Oryctolagus cuniculus: one gene and its partners. The protein of the gene in region 1 interacts with the protein of each later gene in a pairwise test. Links are inferred from orthologs where the notes say so. Each region holds a gene or a part of one and is shown on either strand. Other genes may lie near its edges. The genes, in order: SEPTIN1, AMOT and AURKB.

Evidence for each region.
Region 2: the proteins of SEPTIN1 (region 1) and AMOT interact in binary tests that used the Homo sapiens proteins (3 or more experiments, as listed by UniProt). The two-hybrid records come from large-scale screens. The link is inferred for Oryctolagus cuniculus from reciprocal best matches to the Homo sapiens genes SEPTIN1 and AMOT.
Region 3: the proteins of SEPTIN1 (region 1) and AURKB interact in binary tests that used the Homo sapiens proteins (3 or more experiments, as listed by UniProt). The link is inferred for Oryctolagus cuniculus from reciprocal best matches to the Homo sapiens genes SEPTIN1 and AURKB.

What each region holds. Positions count from the first base shown.
Region 1 is NC_091450.1:6,685,340-6,692,209, forward strand, and holds SEPTIN1 (septin-1), read left to right. Parts: upstream 1-3,043; coding exon 3,044-3,194; intron 3,195-3,291; coding exon 3,292-3,378; intron 3,379-3,570; coding exon 3,571-3,694; intron 3,695-4,401; coding exon 4,402-4,536; intron 4,537-4,645; coding exon 4,646-4,763; intron 4,764-5,308; coding exon 5,309-5,410; intron 5,411-5,505; coding exon 5,506-5,605; intron 5,606-5,743; coding exon 5,744-5,903; intron 5,904-6,080; coding exon 6,081-6,171; intron 6,172-6,288; coding exon 6,289-6,375; 3' UTR 6,376-6,649; downstream 6,650-6,870. Other genes in the region: MYL11 (myosin regulatory light chain 2, skeletal muscle isoform type 2), read right to left, coding at 6,849-6,870. UniProt on the Homo sapiens protein: Filament-forming cytoskeletal GTPase. May play a role in cytokinesis.
Region 2 is NC_091453.1:80,572,558-80,578,634, reverse strand, and holds part of AMOT (angiomotin), read right to left. Parts: intron 4,605-6,077; coding exon 4,482-4,604; intron 3,347-4,481; coding exon 3,114-3,346; intron 2,017-3,113; coding exon 1,300-2,016; intron 952-1,299; coding exon 854-951; 3' UTR 1-853.
Region 3 is NC_091448.1:52,687,663-52,694,310, forward strand, and holds the start of AURKB (aurora kinase B), read right to left. Parts: upstream 3,821-6,648; 5' UTR 3,736-3,820; intron 3,472-3,735; exon of another isoform or gene 3,449-3,471; 5' UTR 3,424-3,448; coding exon 3,376-3,423; intron 1,999-3,375; coding exon 1,896-1,998; intron 1,793-1,895; coding exon 1,741-1,792; intron 1,575-1,740; coding exon 1,383-1,574; intron 1,258-1,382; coding exon 1,119-1,257; intron 1,010-1,118; coding exon 861-1,009; intron 100-860; coding exon 1-99. UniProt on the Homo sapiens protein: Serine/threonine-protein kinase component of the chromosomal passenger complex (CPC), a complex that acts as a key regulator of mitosis.

The DNA of each region.
Region 1 (6,870 bases):
TCTCTCTCCTAGGAGTCTCCTCCGTCTGTTTCTTTTCCTGGGTCTCTGCCTCCCTGTCCTTATTCTTGACCTTGAGACCGAGAAGGGCTACCAGAGGAAGCTGAGAAAGAAAAAAAAAAAAAAAGCTGGAAAACCTCCCCTTAGCAGCTGTAGGTGTTGATATGATAATGACCAGATGGTCTGGGTGCTCCCAGAAGCAGGCTAAGCCGCCCCCCCACCCCTGATCACCCCTATAAAAGATTCAGCCACCAATGGGGCTCAGGTTACTGCTTAAGGACGCACTTTCTTTCCAAGGATCAACTTCAGCTTTGCTGTTTGTCTGAGCCTCCTCCTCCCATGCACTGTATGAGGTTCCATGTCCCTGCTTTCTGGCCCTGGGCTCCCACAATCCTGTTGCCTCCCAGGGCGTGTGCTAACGGGCAGCTGGCACCTGAGGCAGAGCTGGGACCAGAAGCAGGCTCTTCCCTGTAGAGGGACCGAGGGACGTGGGCTTCGAGGCTGCGCCGCACACCTGGCTCCGGGCTGATTTCCTACCAGTTACTCCAAGAGACAGGGCTTTAGTGGTGGGGGCGGGGGACACAGTTCAGTGCATAACAGCTAAGAGGGGAATAATAAATAGAACCGAAAGGAGAGGAGTAAAGAAAATGGGGTTGGTGAGGCAGGCGGGATCCAGATGAAGCCGCGGTAAAGGAGACCAGCATCAGGGGCTCTGAGGTTAACGCACACACCAAAGGGAACCCAGCTCCTCAATGCTAAACTCACAGTTGGATAAATAACCGCTGGCCTCCAAGGCCAAAGTCATTCCTTCGAAAATGGAGCGCCGATAACAGAGCTGAAATGCATTTCATTTTACAAGCTGGAAACTGGTTCAGAGAGGTCATGTTACTTACCCAAGGTCACACAGCAAGTAAGCAGAGAGCTGAGGTCTAGGGAGTTCTTCCTTTTTCTCTCTCTCCGTCTCCCTCTCTCTCTCCTTTTAGAGATATGTTTCCTGTTCTTTATAAAGTGGTAGGTTTTTTTTTTTTTTTTTTAAGATGTATTTGTTTATTTGAAAGGCAAAGTGACAGAGAGGGAAGGAGAGACAGAGATCTTCCATCTGCTGGTTCATTCCCCAAATGCCTGCAACAGCAGTGAAGGGGCGGGGGTGGCTGGGCCAGTCCCTGGCCAGGAGCCAGGAGCTCCATCTGGGTCTCCCACGTGAGTGGCAGAAACCCAAGTACTTGGGCCATCATCTGCTGGCCTGCCGGGGCTTCAGCAGGCAGCTGGGATTTAGCATGGAAGAGTTGGGACCGGAACCAAGCACTGGTTCTTTTTGTATGTTCTGCAGCCTCCAGCTAACTCCCTATAGCCGTTCTTCCAGGCACCCTGTGCATCTAAAATACTGTTTCTTGGTCTTTCTATGTGCCAGGCCCCCTGCACAAGACACCGGGGAATCCAGAAAGCAGAAGATGGGGCATTTGCCCTCGGAGTGCTCAGCCTGGGTGGGCATGGCAGGAGCTGTGACAGTGCTGGGGAGGCTACAGGAAGCAGAATGACTCTGCGGGGGTGGGGGACAGCCGGAGACCACTTCAGGGGAGGAGGCAGAGCCCCTTTGGATAAAGAGGCGCGAGGCGCGCACCTGGGAGAGCTGAGCGCGTTTGGGTGATGAGAGACAGGTGAGGAAGCCAGCGCCCGGAGGCTTCCGCTGCCACAGGCCCAGAGCTTGCACTTGACTTTGAGGTCACTGGGCAGGCCCTGAAGGAGTCTGATTGGGCCGGGCTAGGGGGTTCTGAAGCAAGGTCTCTGGCTGCGGAACCCCAAGACTTGGAGTCCTTTCAAGAATTCATTCAATCTACCGCACAAGCAAGAAAATTGCTGGTCCCTCCCACCTTGGTCCCATTTATAGCTTCTGGTCCACTCAGACCCTGGGGACTTTATTATTAGTATTACTGGGAAAGGCAGAGTGATGCAGAGAGAGAGAGAGAGAGAGAGAGAGAGAGAGAGAGAGAGAGAGAGAGAGGCTGGTGGTGTGGCACAGTGGATTAAAATGCTGCCTGCAATGCTAGCATCCTGGTTTGGGTCCCAGCTGCTCCACTTCCGATGCAGCTCCCTGCTGATGCACCTGGGAAAGCAGCAGAGGATGGCCCGAGTGCTTGGGCCCCTGCACCCACATGGGAGACCCAAATGGAGTTCCAGGCTCCTGGCTTCAGCCTGGGCCAACCCCAGCTGTTGCGGCCATTGGGGGAGTGAACCAGCAGATGGAAGATCTCTCTCCCTCCCTCTCTCTCTCTCTCTCTCTCTCTGTAAGGCTGCCTTTCAAATAAAGAAAGAGAGAGAGATCTTTCATCCGTCCTCTGGTTTACTCCCCAAATGCCTGCAACATTCATAGCCAGGCAGACCTAAAGCCAGCAGCCCAGAGCTCAACCCAGATCTCACACGTGCAGGAAGGGCGCTGTCTGAGCCATCCCTGCTGCCTCCCAGGCACAGGTCGGCAGGCAGCTGGATTGAGAGGAGACCAAGGACTCTGACAGGCGAGGTGCGGCTTACCCAGCTGCACCAGCATGCCCAGCACGCCCACCCTGGAACGTTTCTAAACCATCCTGTCAAAGCCTTCCTCTCACCTGCTACGGACAGCGGCTGGCTTCCTTCCTCTCTGCCCGCACCCCGCCTCTCACCATGGTAAGGGGGGCTACTGAGGGGCTTGAAATAAAGCTGTGTGGAGAATGGAGGGGCCGAAGCTGCCTGAGGGATGATGGGAAACAGGGTGCAGGTGGGGGGACCCCCAGGTTCCCTTGGTCTTGGCTTCCCCCAGCTCTCTGCTCTGGGCGGGTTCTGAGCATCTGAGCTGCCTACCCTGCCCTCCCCCTCGCTGGCTGCACTCAACTTCCTGTCCCACCAGAGGAAGTGGGGTGCGACAGCAGGTGCAGCGACAGCTCGGGGAGCCATGGTGAGTCCTTGTGCCCAGGAACCCAGGCGTCTCGGCCCCTGGGCCCCTACCCCCAGGGTCGCTAGCCCCAGGTTGATCTACAGGGGGGTGTTTCTCCCCAGCCTCTGAGCTTAAGGGATGCGGGGGGTGTTGCCTGCCACTCCTAGCGCCTTCAACGGTCCCCCCACCCCACAGCAGGACAAGGAGTACGTAGGTTTCGCCGCCCTCCCCAACCAGCTGCATCGCAAGTCCGTCAAGAAGGGGTTTGACTTCACACTCATGGTGGCAGGTTTGCAGAGGAAGCGTGGGGGAGGGGGCTGCCCTTAAGAGACACCCCCCCCCCCGGCTGTCCCTTCAACAACCAAGTGGGTCTGTGCTGTCCACAGGGGAATCAGGCCTGGGGAAATCCACCCTCATCAACAGCCTGTTCCTCACCAACCTCTACGAGGAGCGGCAGGTGCCAGAAGTCAGCGGTGAGAGGCCCCACGTTGCAAGTGTTGCCTTTCCATCCGGGGACTTGGGCAACCACTGCCCCCCCCCCTTTTTTCTCCTCTCTGGGAAAATGGGTGGAGGCAGCGGTTATGCTGGGAAAGGACATGAGCACTGCTCAGACCCCTAAACAGCTCCCAGACCTCCACCCCTACCCCCCACCCTCGTCCTCACAGCTCGCTTGGCCCAAACACTGACCATCGAGCGCCGGGGCGTGGAGATCGAGGAGGGCGGTGTTAAAGTGAAGCTGACCCTGGTGGACACGCCTGGCTTTGGGGATGCAGTGGACTGCTCCGACTGGTGAGGGGGAGGAGAGGGGAGGGGGCCCAGGGGGTGGGGTGGGCACCTAGGGAGCAGTTACAGAGCCGATCTGTCCCGGCTCCCTGACCCAAAAGGTGACACCTGTTTCTGGGGACTATCTGGCCCAAGGTGCCCTGTGCTTTAAATATATATTTAAAAATATATATATATGGGCAATCATTTGGTGCAGTGGTTAAAGATGCCACTTGGGAGGCCCAGGATCCCCCTGGGTTTGGGCCCTGAATCTGCTTCTCATTGTGTCCTGCTAAAGTGCACCGGGGAGGCAGCGGGTAAGGGCTCAAGTGCCTGGGTCCCTGGCACCTGGAGATCCAGATGGAGCTCCAGGCTCTTGGCTTCAGCCTGGCCCTGTCCTCAAATGCAGGGATTTGAGGAGGGAACCACTGCATGAGAGATCTCTGTCTGTCAAATAAAATGAGCAGAAGTCTTAAACATATATTTAGTTTTAATTAACACATAGTAATTGGACATGCATTGTGGGCCAGAGGATGATGGATGGAGAGACCCCCGTACTCAGAGCCATTCCTTACCCGCTGCCTGCACCCTGCTGCGCCAGCGCCAGCCCCTTCTCAATGCCTTTTAATGGAGGCTGAGAAACCACTTCTTCCCCCTACAGTCCTTGCTAGCCCCGCCCCCTTCCCTGCCTGCAGCCTCTGACCTCTGACCTCTGACCATCTCCCACCTCCCAGCTGGCTGCCGGTGGTGCGCTACATCGAGGAGCAGTTTGAACAGTATCTCCGGGACGAGAGTGGCCTGAACCGGAAGAACATCCAGGATTCCCGAGTCCACTGCTGCCTCTACTTCATCTCGCCCTTCGGCCGGGGGTCTGGGGGAACCCCCTGGGAGCTGGGGCATTTGGAGAGGGCTTTGGGGGCGGGGGTGGGGGATGTCTCTGCACCCCGGGGCTGGGCCCTGACCAACGCCTGGCTGCAGGCTCCGGCCCCTGGACGTGGCCTTCCTGCGGGCAGTGCACGAGAAAGTCAACATCGTCCCTGTCATTGGCAAGGCAGACGCCCTGACGCCTGAGGAGACCCAGGCCCTCAAGCAGAAGGTATGGCTGCTGGTGACCCCTGGCCTTTTGGGGCCCCAAGCAAAGCCAAAGTCCTGATCAAGCTTGAACTTGAGCTTTGGCTTGGCTTTGATCTTGGATGGCTGTTTGGGAGGATGACCAGTTAGGCGGGCTGTGGGGGTGACTGAGGAGGGTGGCACGAAGCTGCCAGGGGAAAGCCTCGTCTCTGGAGGTTGAGAACCCGGTGAATACGCAGGCCTGTCTGGAGGCTGGGGCATAGCCATGATGACCTCTGACCTCTCTCTGGCCCCATGAAGCTCTGCCCCCCACTCCCCACTGTCTTCAGAGCCCTCCTCCGCTGTTTACACAAGTGACCACCTCATCTTAGGATTTTGTTTGTTTCTCAAACCTCTATGTGCCCGAGATTCTGGTGCTGGTCATTCCCTACAGTCAGATTTCACCATCTCTGTCTCTGCGTGTCCCTCTCTGGTCTCTGACCACCGGGTGTAACTCTGGGTCTCTGGCCATGCACTGTCTTGCACTCATGCCCCGTGTTCCTCGCTGTCTCTGCCTCTGTCTCCCTGGAGATCCGGGACCAGTTGCAGGAGGAGGAGATCAACATCTACCAGTTCCCGGAATGCGACTCCGATGAGGACGAAGACTTCAAGAGGCAGGATGCAGAAATGAAGGTGCCGGGGGCATGGGGGGCAGCGGCCGCCGGGAAAGGGGTTCCTCCCCCCACCCCACAGGGGCCAGCGGTGACCCCTTGACCCCCGCCCTCCAGAACAGCATCCCTTTCGCGGTTGTGGGTTCCTGCGAGGTGGTGAGGGATGGCGGGACCCGACCAGTGAGGGGACGCCGCTACTCCTGGGGTACCGTGGAAGGTGAGTGACCCCCGGGCCACTTGCGAATCCGCGGGGCCCGACACGGGCTTTCGGGGTGGGCTGCGCTCCCCAGGAGGCCCTAGGGCTGCAGGCTGGGCAGACCCGAGTTCTCTTGTCGCTCGCTGGCCCGCCCCCCAGTGGAGAACCCACACCACTGCGATTTCCTGAACCTGAGACGCATGCTGGTGCAGACGCACCTGCAGGACCTGAAGGAGGTGACGCACGATCTGCTTTACGAGGGCTACCGGGCCCGCTGTCTACAGAGCCTGGCCCGGCCCGGGGCCCGAGCCAGCCGCAGGTGAGCGCTGCCAAGCCCCCGCCCCCGCCCCCGCCCCGGCCCCGCCTGTGTCGCCCAGGCCTCGCTCTTCGACTTTCTCCACCCACTGCGCCTCGGGTCCGGCTCTCAGGCGGCTAGATCCCCGCCTCTCGGCCTCGACACCCCTGACTCCCATGCCCCTCTCCCGCTGCCCCCCAGTAAGCTCTCCCGCCAGAGCGCCACGGAAATCCCTCTGCCCATGCTGCCCCTGGCCGAGACGGAGAAGTTGATCCGCGAGAAAGACGAGGAGGTGAGCCGGCGCCTCGCCTCCCACCCCCCACTCCCCCCGACTCGAGGCCCCAGGTCCTCCTGGAAGGGCGCCTCCGGCCTCGCGCGGTCCCACCGCCCGCACTCTCGTCCCGCACAGCTGCGCCGCATGCAGGAGATGTTGGAGAAGATGCAGGCCCAGATGCAGCAGAGCCAGGCTCAGGGCGAGCAGTCGGACGCTCTCTGAGGACCCCCGCCCCGGCCCTGACTTACCTCGGCTCCGCCTTCGGTCTCTCTCTCGTCCAATCCCGGGTCCTACACTGCCCAGCGCCTAAGCCCGGAGCCCCCCGCCGGCAGACCCGCCCTGGCGTCCGCTTTGTTGCGGGCTCCCGGGCCGAACGCCTGCCTCTCCCCCGGCCCGGAGTTGGCGGCCCCGCCCCCGCCCCGCCCCGTCCCCCGGCGCCGCCCCTCCGGGCCCGAGCGTTCGCTGACTGAATAAAGACGGCGCGCCCCCCACCCCAGCCCCCGCCCCGAGCTTCCTTGCGAGCGGGAACGAGCCTCCGCGGGGCGCGAGCCCGCACGCCCCACCCCAGCCCGGCCGCCAGACACTGCGGGGGACGCCACCCATAAGAAACAGAGACCAGCCGAATTTTATTGGGAGTCGGGGCGGGGGCTCGGGCTAGCCGGGAGCGCGGGTCAGCGGAGGCGCCAGACGCTCGCCTACTCCTGGTCCTTGGCGTCC
Region 2 (6,077 bases), on another chromosome or scaffold:
GCAACTCTCCATAGAGGCCTTGGATGCCTAACTCCCCTAGGAGAGAGGAAGTTGCATATCACTCAGTTAATTTACTCTCCTAGCATCTGAAAGCAATATATTAATTATCCAAATGCATAAATTACTTCAGAATATATATATATATATACACACACACACATATATATATATATATATATATGAATGTATGAACCTCCAGGAGGGAACCAAAAGAACCCACTTCCAAAGCACCACTGAAATGAAGATCAACACAATCCCTTGGGGCAAGGTAGCTGGGAAACTGAGAGGGAAAATTAGCTCTAGCATCTTTCTGTATCCCAGTGCTCCCCACCTGTTCTCCAGCTTACATAAGCTCTTAAAACTATTCCCTTTCATGAGCCTGAGGTGAGAGCTTTCTCTGGCTGCTATCCAGTTGGTAACTGCACAAAACAGCACACACATGAACTCTCTCTGGCTTTCCATGTCTGCACTACATGTTATACACTGTCTTTCACACATGCTGTGCTCTTCAATAGAAAATAATCTGGAAGAGGGAAATTTTAAACAAATTTAAGCACACTGAAAACATCACTGTATATCCACCTGGTAACAGTCCCAGTTTTGTACTAATGCAAACAACAGACTTCAGAACACATTCTGATGAGTCTGTCTTTAGAGGTACTTTCGGAGTATACCAGAATAGACTGAAGTTCATATGGTATTACTTAAGTACTATATTGTTCCAATAAAAAGTCCCTTTAGAAAACATACCCACCCCCCAACCCTTATCCTCACCCTAAAAATAAGAACAAACAAAAGGGGGAAATGATTAAAAGCATTGTTTCTGATAAACTCCAGCTCTTGATAAGGTCATTTAGATGAGATATTCCACCATCTCTGCTTCAGGCTCTTGTCCCAGGATCTGAAGGGGTGCTTTTCTTTCCAGAGTATTGGAGTGGAAAACAGGGCCATCTGAATGAAAATAAGGTGTTGAAGATACTTATAAGGATATTTAAAAAGCTCAATTTTCTAGAAACAGACAGCATTAGAGCCCTCGTGGAGGTAAGGGTAAATTGAGCCTTGAGTGCCACCCCCTCACCCCCATTTACTTCTACTGGGAAAATGGCTTCTACTCATGCCCATTCCTGTCTCAGTGGAAGAGAAATCATCTGTAGACCCTCTCCCCTCCTCTAATGGCTCCCCATTACAACATGAAGGGCTCAGTCCAGATGACCATCTCTGCCTGAGCAGCAGGTACCCACAAATCAACCTGCGTTTTGAGAGCCGTACCAAAAGCTCCCTGCTGTAGAGAATTATTACCTGTCTTATCTGAATTGCAAGTCAAACTTGGTATAGACAAACGACGTGATCCAGAACCAGTGGCTGGACTTGCAGGAGCCTCAGCCTGAGCCAAAGCTGGAGCTGGAGCTGGAGATGCAGGAGGAGCCACAGTCGGAGCAGGAGTTGGTGCCTGAGTCTGAGTCGGAGCAGAAGCCTGAGCCACTGCTGGGGCCAGAGCCGGGGCTGGAACTGGAGCTAGAACCGGAGCCGGAGCAGCTGGAGCAACCTGAACTGCAACAGCAGCAACAGCAGCAACAGGAGCAAGAGCAGCAGCAGGAGCAGCAGTGGCGGTGGTGGCAGAGGCAGCAGCTGGCATCTGAGCAGCAGCAGCTGGAGAAGCAGCAACAGTAAGAGCAGCAGCAGTTGCTGGAGATGGGGCAGCAGCAACAGCAGTGGCAGCTGGAGCAACAGCAGCAGCCGCGACTGGAGCAGCAGCTACCATGGTGTTGGTGTTGGTGGCAGCAGTGGCAGTGTTGGCAGTGATGGCAGCAGCAGTGGCGGCAGCAGCAACTGGAGCAGGAACAGAGATGGGAGTAACAGCTGCAGGCTTGTTGGGTTCCGGTCCACGTTCAGTTTGGGTGCTGCAGTCTCGGCTGCCTGTCTTGGAGTGAGCCGAGAGCAGGGGAGTGGAGGGGGGCACAGGCGAAGGTGTGGAAGGGACAGACTCAGCACGGTAGTCTCCACCCAGGAGAATGCCTGCAAATGAACAAGGGAGAGAGGTTAGGAAACAATACAGTATTCTAATCCATACATCTGATTATCTGTTTCTCTTCAGGACTTCAGGAGAAATTTGAGTGGGCCTAAATTCTTAACCTTTTTGCCTCCAGCAAACTCAGGAGTTGGCTTATCAGCATTTTCCACCATGGCTAATGGTTTCTTCTAGATTTGGAAGATCCCTGGTCCTCATTATCCAACTCCCAGCACAACACATTAAACAGTGAAGTGTTCTGAGTATCTGTTTTATTTTTCCCAATGGTGATTAGAAAGAATTCTTCCACTCGGTTCCACTTATAACCAACACCACACATTACCAGAGAGCTGGAAATGACCAGAGGAAGAAGTCTTAAGACACAGATAAGTCTGCTATTAATTGTGTGATCTATGGTTCTGAACATGAGCATGGTTCCCAAATGCTTTCTCTGGTCTAAGCAAAGGAACTTGCAAGTGTCAGAGGACCAAGAAAGGTGAAAAAGCATCACAAAGAGCTAAAGTAAATAAATATACATGACTCCCTTCATCATGCTTTAAAAATGTACCATGGTATCTACAATACTTTGGAGGTTTTGATTAGTGGGGATGGAAGGGACAGGCTTGGAATGGAAAAAGTACATTCTGTTCTCATATCAGAATGTTCTGGTAACAAAAACCTGCGACCCAGATTGATTTTGATTAAGTAGAATGCTGGGTCGTCCTCTTGTAGGGGAGAAAAGAACAAAGAAATGCTGGAATTTTGAAATTGTGAATGGCACAAGAGGCACATGGGCTTTGGACATGGACAAGGATTCTGTGTAGCAAAGACCAAATTGAAGAAATTTTTAAGAGGCCACTGATGCTATCTCCCTTCCCACCCAAGAACTTAGAATTCTTATCTTCTCAGGCCCTGGCCTCTTTAATTGTTCTCACCATGAGACTTCCCAGTGTGGCAGAGCTCTACAATATGTAGTTAACCATTCAGGAGGAAAACATCCTGACCAGCTACATCTTCCTCTCTAGAACCTGGGCGTCACCCTTTTTCCTTGCTATATGGAGATCTTTTTAAATGTGTGACTATAATCTTCCTTAGTTGTCATTACCTAGGCTCCCCTTCCAGCTCTTATCCTCCCGTTTTTCTTCCATGATAGGGGTGCCAGTCAAGGTGGATGAGTGGGAGAGTAAGCCTGAGCCAGCATTGGAAATAGACATCAGAGACTTCGCTGGCCTCATGGATGACAGCTGCTCTGTCTTACTTGGCTCCTTCCTGGAACGCTGCTGGAGAACTTTGATCATGGCGTCTTTCTCAATAATCTGGGCATGCAGGGTCTTAATCCTAGGAACCAAAGACAAAAAACATATAAAGACCTTGGAGCTACCTCTGTGTTCTGGTCTCATTGCCTACAAGTACTTGATTTCCCATTCTCTTTTTGACTAAAGGGTAGCCTAGTTCATTCTGAAGTGCATATTATGGAATGGTGTACTATGACTTTTTTAATGTTTTCCTGAACACCCAGTAGAGCATCTATGAGTGGCTGCTTACACCTTAGAAGGTCAAAGTAAAGTATTGGTGAAAAGAAAGGCCACGTAGGAGAGAATGAACTGGTGTGGCAGGCTCTGCTGTGAAGAATTTGAGTCAACAAAAACAATGTGTTCCATGAGAAGATGAGGTCTTCTATTAATGAGCCATAGCCTTCCAGTAATAATAAATGATTATAAGTTTACAGGAGGCAACAGGAGTCCTACATCCCAGTTTCAATGGATGTTCTTTCATTAAGAATTCTGCTATATCAGCAGTGCTGTGGCTCACTAGGCTAATCCTCTGCCTGCGGCACCGGCACTCTGGGTTCCAGTCCCGGTTGGGGCGCCGGATTCTGTCCCGGTTGCTCCTCTTCCAGCCCAGCTCTCTGCTGTGGCCCGGGAAGGCAGTGGAGGATGGCCCAAGTGCTTGGGCCCTGCACCCACATGGGAGCCCAAGAGGGGGCACCTGGTTCCTGGCTTCGGATCGGCACAGCGCGCTGGCATAGCAGCCATTTGGGGGTGAACCAACAGAAGGAAGACCTTTCTGTCTGTCTCGCTCTCTTGCTGTCTAACTCTGCCTGTCAAAAAAAAAAAAAAAAAGAATTCTGCTATATCATAGGCTTAAAGGTATATTTTTTGCAAAGAATGATCCAGAGTATAAATGCCAATAATTGAACTTTGAACTTTGGCAGAGGGCAGGTGGAACACAATTAGGAAGGCATAGGGGAGAGCAACACTATTTAGAATTCAACAATTGGTAGGAATTTTCAAGGTAAAGATCATCACATCTCAAACCCTAAGTAACAGGCTAGCAGAGGTGAAGGTGGTAGGGGGATTCTGGGTGAGCAGGCTTCCCAGTTGTCGCTAAATATCTGTGTCCTTCTCTACTGACCTATCTGGTCTCTACACCAAATTCTCAGATTCATCTTCATCCAGATTGACATTTATACCTGCCCTCCATGTCCAAGCAACGCTTGTTGGCCATCAAAATTTCTTCCTCCTCCTTCTGGATGCGAGCTTCAAGAGCTGTGTCATAACTGGTGTTAGGAGAATGACTGATGACCGATGCATCCCTGGGGAGGAAAATGGCAGTGATGATGACAGGAGGGCAGCAAAAGAAATGAATGCTATCTCCACCCCAAGGTAAAGGAGGCTTTGCTGGAAAGCCCTAAGCTGAAGTCAATCGCATTAGGAACAGCTAGTTTCTGTGTGACTTACTGGTAGGAGTTTCCAAGAAAAAAAGTCTCAGTTCCCAGAGTAGATGAAGAGATTATTGGCATGGATGCAGCTGCAAGAGTCACTGAGAGATTCTATGAGATGTACACAGGCTTGCCTTCAGAACTGGACAGATATCTACCCCCAATCTTGTGGAATATGGTCCTTCAAGTTTTTAGGTCATGGCCAAACAATAAGAATATGTTTACATTCTACTTTATTCTAGTGACCATCATGAAAAGGAAAAGGGTAGGCATTGAAGGAAGTCAGCTTATTGCCACAGATGAGTGTTGGGATCTATGCCTGAGCATTGGAAACAAATGAACAGGTCAACAACAAAGACTGGGTAGTCCATGTGAGCTGAAAAGAGGGTCTTTGGGTGTGTAACAATGGGGGTTCCTATGTAATCTAAATCTGAAACATTCTGCACCAAATCAATGAGTCTACCCTAAGTGACTGCTCTCTTGCCAAAGTCCAAACTGTATAAGGGACCATCATGTTCCATCTGAAAATGTCTCAGGCCATTAATTCAAAGACCAATTAATAAGGGAAAACATATGCCTCTCTCTCTGTGTGTGTGTGTGTGTGTGTGTGTGTGAGAGAGAGAGAGAGAGAGAGAGAGAGAGAGAGAAATCAGGACTAAGGGAAAATATTGGTATAATTACATTAATCTTAAAGGAAATCAAACAATAGGCTGAGAAAACAATGAACTGGCCCTGCTTCTTTAGACTTCCTACAAGAATGACGATCTGTGAGAAAAATCCAGGCAGATTTTCTGCTGGCAGTCAACTATATTCTCTTAGCTTTGAGATTGTGACCAGGGAAGAAAGGGATGAAGTGGCAAGGGAAGAAGCAGAAAGTTGATGTTATGGTTGGGAAATTCTGTGAATCTCTGCAAAGCTACTATTCCCCAAAATGCTTGCACCTTGTGTACAAAGTTGAAACCATTTCTTGAAACCATGAACTACCTGGAGAGCAAGAAGAAAAAGGAATACAATGATCATCATTTGCTCAAATCAAAATATTTTTTTTTAACTTTTATTTAATGAATATACGTTTCCAAAGTACGAATAATGGATTACTATGGCTTCCCCCCCATACCGTCCCTCCCACCCACAACCCTCCCCTTTCCCACTCCCTCTCCCCTTCCATTCACATCAAGATTCATTTTCGATTATCTTAATATACAGAAGATCAGCTTAGTATACATTAAGTAAGGATTTCAACAGTTTGCTCCCACACAGAAACATAAAGTGAAAAATAATAGATGATTTTTTTTAATGATGATGAAATCAAATCAAAATATTTTAACATGTCAGAATTCTACACTT
Region 3 (6,648 bases), on another chromosome or scaffold:
AGCACCCCGATGCACCACAAGTCCACCTTCTCATTGTGCGTGCGCCCCTCAATCATCTCGGGGGGCAGGTAGTCTAGGGTGCCACACATCGTCTTCCTCCTGTGGGATGAAGGGCATGCCAGGGGTCCTGGGACCAGGCAACCATGCTCATCCACCCTCTCCCCCCCAGGCAGCCAAGAGACCCTGGGAGGCAGCAGGGGAGTGCTCCATCCAGGTCACGCCTCTGGGGATGGGGTGGGCCGGTGGCCTCCACATTGCCCCCCAGTACTTCCACTGGGGGACTAAAACAGATAAGGCAGGAGGGCAGTGCTGACGTGGGGAAGAAACCCTGGAGGCCTCTCTCATGCCCGCCAAGCGGGTTCTGCTTAAGTAGCTCGGGGTGCTTCTCCACTGGCATTAGAAATGAAGGGTGGGCCGGCGCCGCGGCTCACTAGGCTTATCCTCCGCCTGTGACGCCGGCACATCCGGGTTCTAGTCCCGGTCGGGGTGCCAGATTCTGTCCCGGTTGCCCCTCTTCCAGGCTAGCTCTCTGCTGTGGCCAGGGAGTACAGTGGAGGATGGCCCAAGTGCTTGGGCCCTGCACCCCATGGGAGACCAGAAGTACTGGGCTCCTGGCTTCGGATCAGCGCGGTGCACCGGCTGCAGCGTGCCGGCCGCGGCGGCCATTGGAGGGTGAACCAACGGCAAAGGAAGACCTTTCTCTCTGTCTCTCACTGTCCACCCTGCCCGTAAAAAAAAAAAAAAAAAAAAAAAAAAGAAGGGTGGGAAGCACCTGGGGTCAGAACTATGCGTCTCCTACTTTCCTACCGGGATTGCCCAGAGGTGCCGCCTGCCAGGGCCGGCTTCCCAGCGCCACGTACCGCAGGGAGGGCGCGTGCACAGACCAGCCGAAATCCGCGATCTTCAGCTCCCCCTGCAGCCCCAGGAGCAGGTTCTCCGGCTTGATGTCCCTGTGAATCACTTTCTTCTCGTGGCAGTAGCGCAGGGCATCTGCCAGCTCCTCCATGATCTGGGAGGGCGGGGACAGGCAGTCAGACAAGGACAGCCCCGCGGCCACAGGCAGCGTGCCCCCAGCCTCAAGCCCCCAGCCGGGGTCCCAGGTGCCCACCCGCCCCGACCGTGGCTGTTCGCTGCTCGTCAAAAGTGCGGCTTTTCTGCAGCTCCTTGTACAGCTCGCCGCGCGGGGCGTACTCCAGGATCAGGTAGATTCTCCTCCGGTCGTAGAAATAGTTGTAGAGACGCAGAATGTTGGGATGCCTGCAGCAGGAGACAGGAGGCCTCAGGCCACATCCGGGCATAAAGGGAAGATGATAGGGCCCAGGCTGGGGAACTGGACCCAGCTCTCAGGGGCCACAGTCTGGACTCCCGGGGCGGGGGCGTACTGCAGGTGCGCCTGGATCTCGATCTCCCTGCGCAGCTGGTGCTCCACACCCTCTTTCTCGATCTGAGACTTGAAGAGGACCTTGAGTGCCACGATGAAATGGCTCTTCTTCTCCCGGGCCAAGTACACGTTTCCAAATTTGCCTTTGCCCAGAGGACGGCCGATCTCGAAGTCGTCGATGGTGAAGGGCCGCCTGCTCAGCAAGTGGGGGACACAGCTCAGCGCCGGCCTGCCGGGCAGCCCAGGAGTCTGCTTTCTCCCCACTCCCTCAGCCCCCCCACCTCCACCGCGGCTCCCCCACTTCTGCCGGTCCCAGGCCGTCCCTTCCCGCTGGCCACCTCCAGGCTGGGAGCACTCACGTGAAGTTGGGTGCCCCACTGCTGTTCTCCATCCCCTTCTGCCCAAGGACAGCTAAGGAGAGAGCGGGAGAGGTGAGACCCTGCTGGGACATCCTCCCTACCCGTCCCGTAGACTCCAGCTCCCCAGTCCCTGCTTTCCCTCCTGGGCCACTTGCCTGTGGGCGGGGCGTTGGAGCGGTTCATGAGGACAAGGGCAGAGGGGGTGGCAGCCTCCTTCCGCAGGATTCTCTGAGGCAGAGTGTTCAGGCCAGACTGAGGCTAAGGAGGAGAAGGCGGAGCGCCAGGGCGCCTTTGTCCCAGGGACCCGGCTGGAATGTGCCGCGAGCAGCTTTTCTGCTCCTGCCTAAACAGCTTCCCACGTGCTGTCCACCCCCAGTGCTGAGAAAAACCCTGATACGACAGTTTTGGCCTCCAGCCCCAAGACTCTGTTCAGAGTCTCATGTTAAAATGGGTTATTAATCCTCTGCCTGCGGCGCCGGCACACCAGGTTCTAGTCCCGGTCAGGGCGCCGGATTCTGTCCCGGTTGCGCCTCTTCCAGGCCAGCTCTCTGCTGTGGCCAGGGAGTGCAGTGGAGGATGGCCCAAGTGCTTGGGCCCTGCACCCCACGGGAGACCAGGAGAAGCACCTGGCTCCTGGCTTCGGATCAGCGCGGTGCACCGGCCACAGCGTGCCGGCCGTGGCGGCCATTGGAGGGTGAACCAAAGGCAAAAGGAAGACCTTTCTCTCTGTCTCTCTCTCTCTCTCTTACTGTCCACTCTGCCTAGAGGTGGGGCAGGGGGCGGCACTGGTGCAGCGGGTAAAGCCACCTGCAGTGCCAGCATCCCATATGGGCCCTCCACTTCCCATCCAGCTCCCTACTCATACATCTGGGAAAGCAGTGGAGGATGGCCCAAGTGCTTGGGCCCCTGCACCGGTGTGGGAGACCCAGAGGAAGCTCCTGGCTCCGGCCTGGCCCAGCTCTGCCTGTCACGAGCATTTGAGGAGTGAACCAGCGGATGGAAGAACTCTCTCTCTCTGTATCTTTCAAATAAATAAATAAATCCTTAAAAAATAATAATAATAACCCAAGTGGGCCAAAAACAGGGGACTCCTCCCCAACACCTAACATTTCACCTCCTTGGCCCTGGCCTGTGCCACCGTCTCAGGCATGACTGTCTAGTCTGTGTAGTCCTGTCCATGACACCGCACCGGCTCCCCCAACCCTCACACCAGGGGCCAGGTGAGGGCCTGGTCAACCAACCCCACAGCGTCAGCACACTGGCAAGCTCAGCCGATTAGAGCTTAGATGAGGCCAGGGAGGCAGCCAATGCCACTTCAGGACAGACTTCTTCCTTTTGGCAGTGACAATGGCGGCTCATTCAGACCCGCTCTTAATGGCCTCGCTCAGTGCTCCGCGAGGGAGGCAGCCGGCGCACAGGGGAGACATGGACCCTCCACCACCAGACCAGAACCAAAGCCTCACCAATAGACGGCACAAGTTCAGCCGGAAGGAGGCGGCTCCGGGGGCCCTGAAAACCTGCTTCCCAACAGTGATCGACGCATGGCCAAGTGGAACAAAACACGCTTAGGGCATAAGGGGGCAGGCGGTGCCGAGGGGGTGGTCCAGCGCGTCCCGCGGGGCGGGGTGGCCTTACCGTGGGTCGGCTGTAGGGCCAGGGGTAGGCGTTCTCCTTCTGGGCCATCCTCACGGGGTAGCGGGGAGGGCGCCTGGGCGGAGAAGGGAAAGAGTCCTGAGAAGCAGAAAGGGGAATTAAAAAAAAAAAAAAAAAAAAAAAAACCAGCGGTGGGATCGGATGGATCCAGCCAGAAGCGCCGTCCGGGCTGGCGAGAGGGCTGGCCACACCCCGGACGCTCGTCCCGCAGCCCCGGCGCCGGGACCCGCCCAGCCCCCTTCCAGGACCCTCTCTCTCCACCCCTGAGCGCTCAGGAGCCCCGCGATCCGCCTGAGCCCCTGGCCGCACCGGGCCGAGGCCCGCGAACGGAGGCCGGCTCACCTGAGGCCGCCGGGAACTACCGAACCTGCCGGGCAGCGCCTCCGCCGAGGCGCTTTCAAATCTCCCGCTCTGGCCCCATTGGCTGCCGGCGCCACCCTCGCCCAATTCTCATTGGATCTCTCACCTATGACGTAGCCAAGGGGACCCAATGGGAACCGCGGAAGGCGAGCCGCCGCCGACTCCGTTCCGGTTTGGGAAAAGTTCCCCCGGTGACCCGGGGAGAGGAGTTTTTGCTTTCTCTTCGTTTTTAAAAGTGTGAATTTTTAATATAAACGGAGACTGTGTGAGCCAGGATCGAAGTTCGTTTCCTTCCGGGCCGCCGATGCCGGCACCGTGGGTGAAGCGAGCTGCCCCGGTTCCCAGCGGGATTTAAACGCGGGCCTTGGGTCCCCGTGCGGGGGGACCGGGTCTTCAAACCCGAACAAAGGTGCATCGAGTAGCTGCAGGCGCTAGCCAGGAAGAAACGGCGACTGTGGCCTGGGCCGAGTGTCCTCTCCTGCCTGCCACGGGCTGAGTGACGGGTGGAAGTGGTGAGCCTGGTGAGCAAGGCAGGCGTTCGGTGCCTCGCGTCTACACTGGCGGCAGCCAGAGGCCCGCTGTCCCCGTGCGGGGCAGGCTTGGCAGTAGGTAGGGTAGTCCAGGAGGAGCAGCAAGCCGGGTTCCTGCATGGGGCCGCGGCTCCCACCAGGATGCTGTGGGACTTCAGGCCTGAGTTAAGGTGTTAACCGACACTCACGAATGCAAAATGGCGGTGGCTGAGACCCTCCAGGGGCAAAGGCTCGGGGCGACCAGCGAAGGAGGTGTTTGCTGAAATTAGAGGGTAATATGGAAGGGGTAGCGGGAAGGTGGTTATAGATACCAGCTACGACCTTGTGACCAGCTGCGGAAATAATGAGTGTGATTCTCATGTGCACTTCTTCCTATTTTGTTATGGGTGTGTGTGTGTGAGAGAGAGAGACATGTAGGCGAGAAGACGGATTGCCTCTTTGCGTCTTCTTATAGAATAACTAACGCAAGTCAGGGGCTCGAGTTTGGATGGGCAGCGAGGGCAGCGGGCGTGTCGGGGGCTAGCCTCACACCCTCTCCTGTCCGCCTCCGTCTCGCTCTATAGGACGCCCTAGACATTGGGACCACTCTGGCAGGAGGAGGGCCAGGGGCGACGGAGCGGAGGGGAGCGGAGGGCAAGGCCCAGGTTCCAGCCTGGACAGCGGGTGCCGTGTGGACGGCGGGGAGGTAGGACACATTCCTTGCCAGCCACCCAAGCCTGCCTCACCAGCAAAGGCACTATCAGTCAAGGAAAGAGATGGCAAGAAAAGGAGGGCCAGGCTCGCTGGGCGCTGGGCGGCCGGGCTGCATTTCTTTGTTTTTCTGTTGTTTACTTTCAGCGTAGTAGAAGCAAGGAGATACATACGCCTCCAGGCTAGCGCCCTCTGAGAAATCTGGAGACAGCTAACAGTAGTATTTAATGCCTTGTGTTCCATGCTAAGTTGACAAAGATAGAGCATCAGAGATCATTGAAAACACTTAAAAAACGTGGACCCGAATTCTGAACACAAGAAAAAAAATTATTAAAAAGAGCAAAATAATGAATAGATCACCTTTGGGAAAGTCGTACGGCCCTTTGGACAGCAGCAGTTGGCAGTTCAGCTAAGGGGACCTTTTACTTGGGAACTTGGAAGTTTCAGGAATTTATGCCACAAACCTAATTCGGTAGGGGCAGAGTAAAAATGAATCACAAAGATGCTCAGGGCAACCTTTTAAATACTAAGAAAAAAAGTGCAGATCATCAGAAAACCAAACTACCGAGCTGTGGAAGAGCTGTTTAAGAATTCGCAGAACTGCCATCAGACGTTAGGTGGCCATTAAAAAGATAAGGACTGTAGAGCTATATTTTATTGCATTGAATGACATTAACCGAGGACAAGTTACGGGCACCACTGACAAGTAGGTAAATCGCCAAAAATGAAAACAGTGATTAGGAGAATGATGTGAGTATTATTGCTTTCACAATGATTAATTATTACTACATTCTTTCTAAGAGAGAACATTTGTTGCTCCAAATGGGAACCAGAATTGTGGGTTGTTCCTGAACAATTTCTGTGTTAGGATACCTGACGTACTCACGAGGTTAAAGGTATTACTATATTAATTGATTGATTTGATGGAAACAGTGAAGTGAAATAAATGTACCCACAGCTGTATTTTAGGAGAAAATCCAGACACTTTAGGAAAATGTTGCAGACACACTGAGGTTCCTATTTTTCCCATGTAACAAATCTTCCAGGAATTTCTTTCCATTGTCTTGGAAAAGACAGCTCTTAGCCGAAAATGAGTGTCTCCCGTGACCCCGACGTGATTTGAACACGCAACCTTCTGATCTGGAGTCAGACGCGCTACCGTTGCGCCACGAGGCCGCTGTGAGTCAGTAGCCTGACGGGTCGTGTGAACCGACATCTCGTCAGCAGCGAGGGGCGGAGTCTCCAGCCTCACGCCCCGCCTCCACGGCCGCGCGCGAACGCACGTGGGGTTTAAACTCGGCGTCTGGGTGCGGGCCGTGCCAGGGCGCCGCTGGTTCCAGCCCAGTTCTGCGGCCTCGGGACGCCTGGGGCTCGCGCGCTGCAGAGGCGGCTTCACGCATTTGGGCCTGTTTTTCTGGGGAGGAGACGTGGGGACGGTGTCCCCGCGGCCCACGCTCTCAGTCTGTTACTGAGTTAGCTGAAGACGCGCAGCGTGGGTTCCTCCGTGCGGATCCGAGGGTGAGCGGCGCGTCCAGCCGCATCGCTTTGAGAGGCTGTGGGAAAACCTCGTGCGCGTCAGCGTTGGTGGTATAGTGGTGAGCATAGCTGCCTTCCAAGCAGTTGACCCGGGTTCGATTCCCGGCCAACGCAGTTTGTAATTTTTGTTTCTTTTACC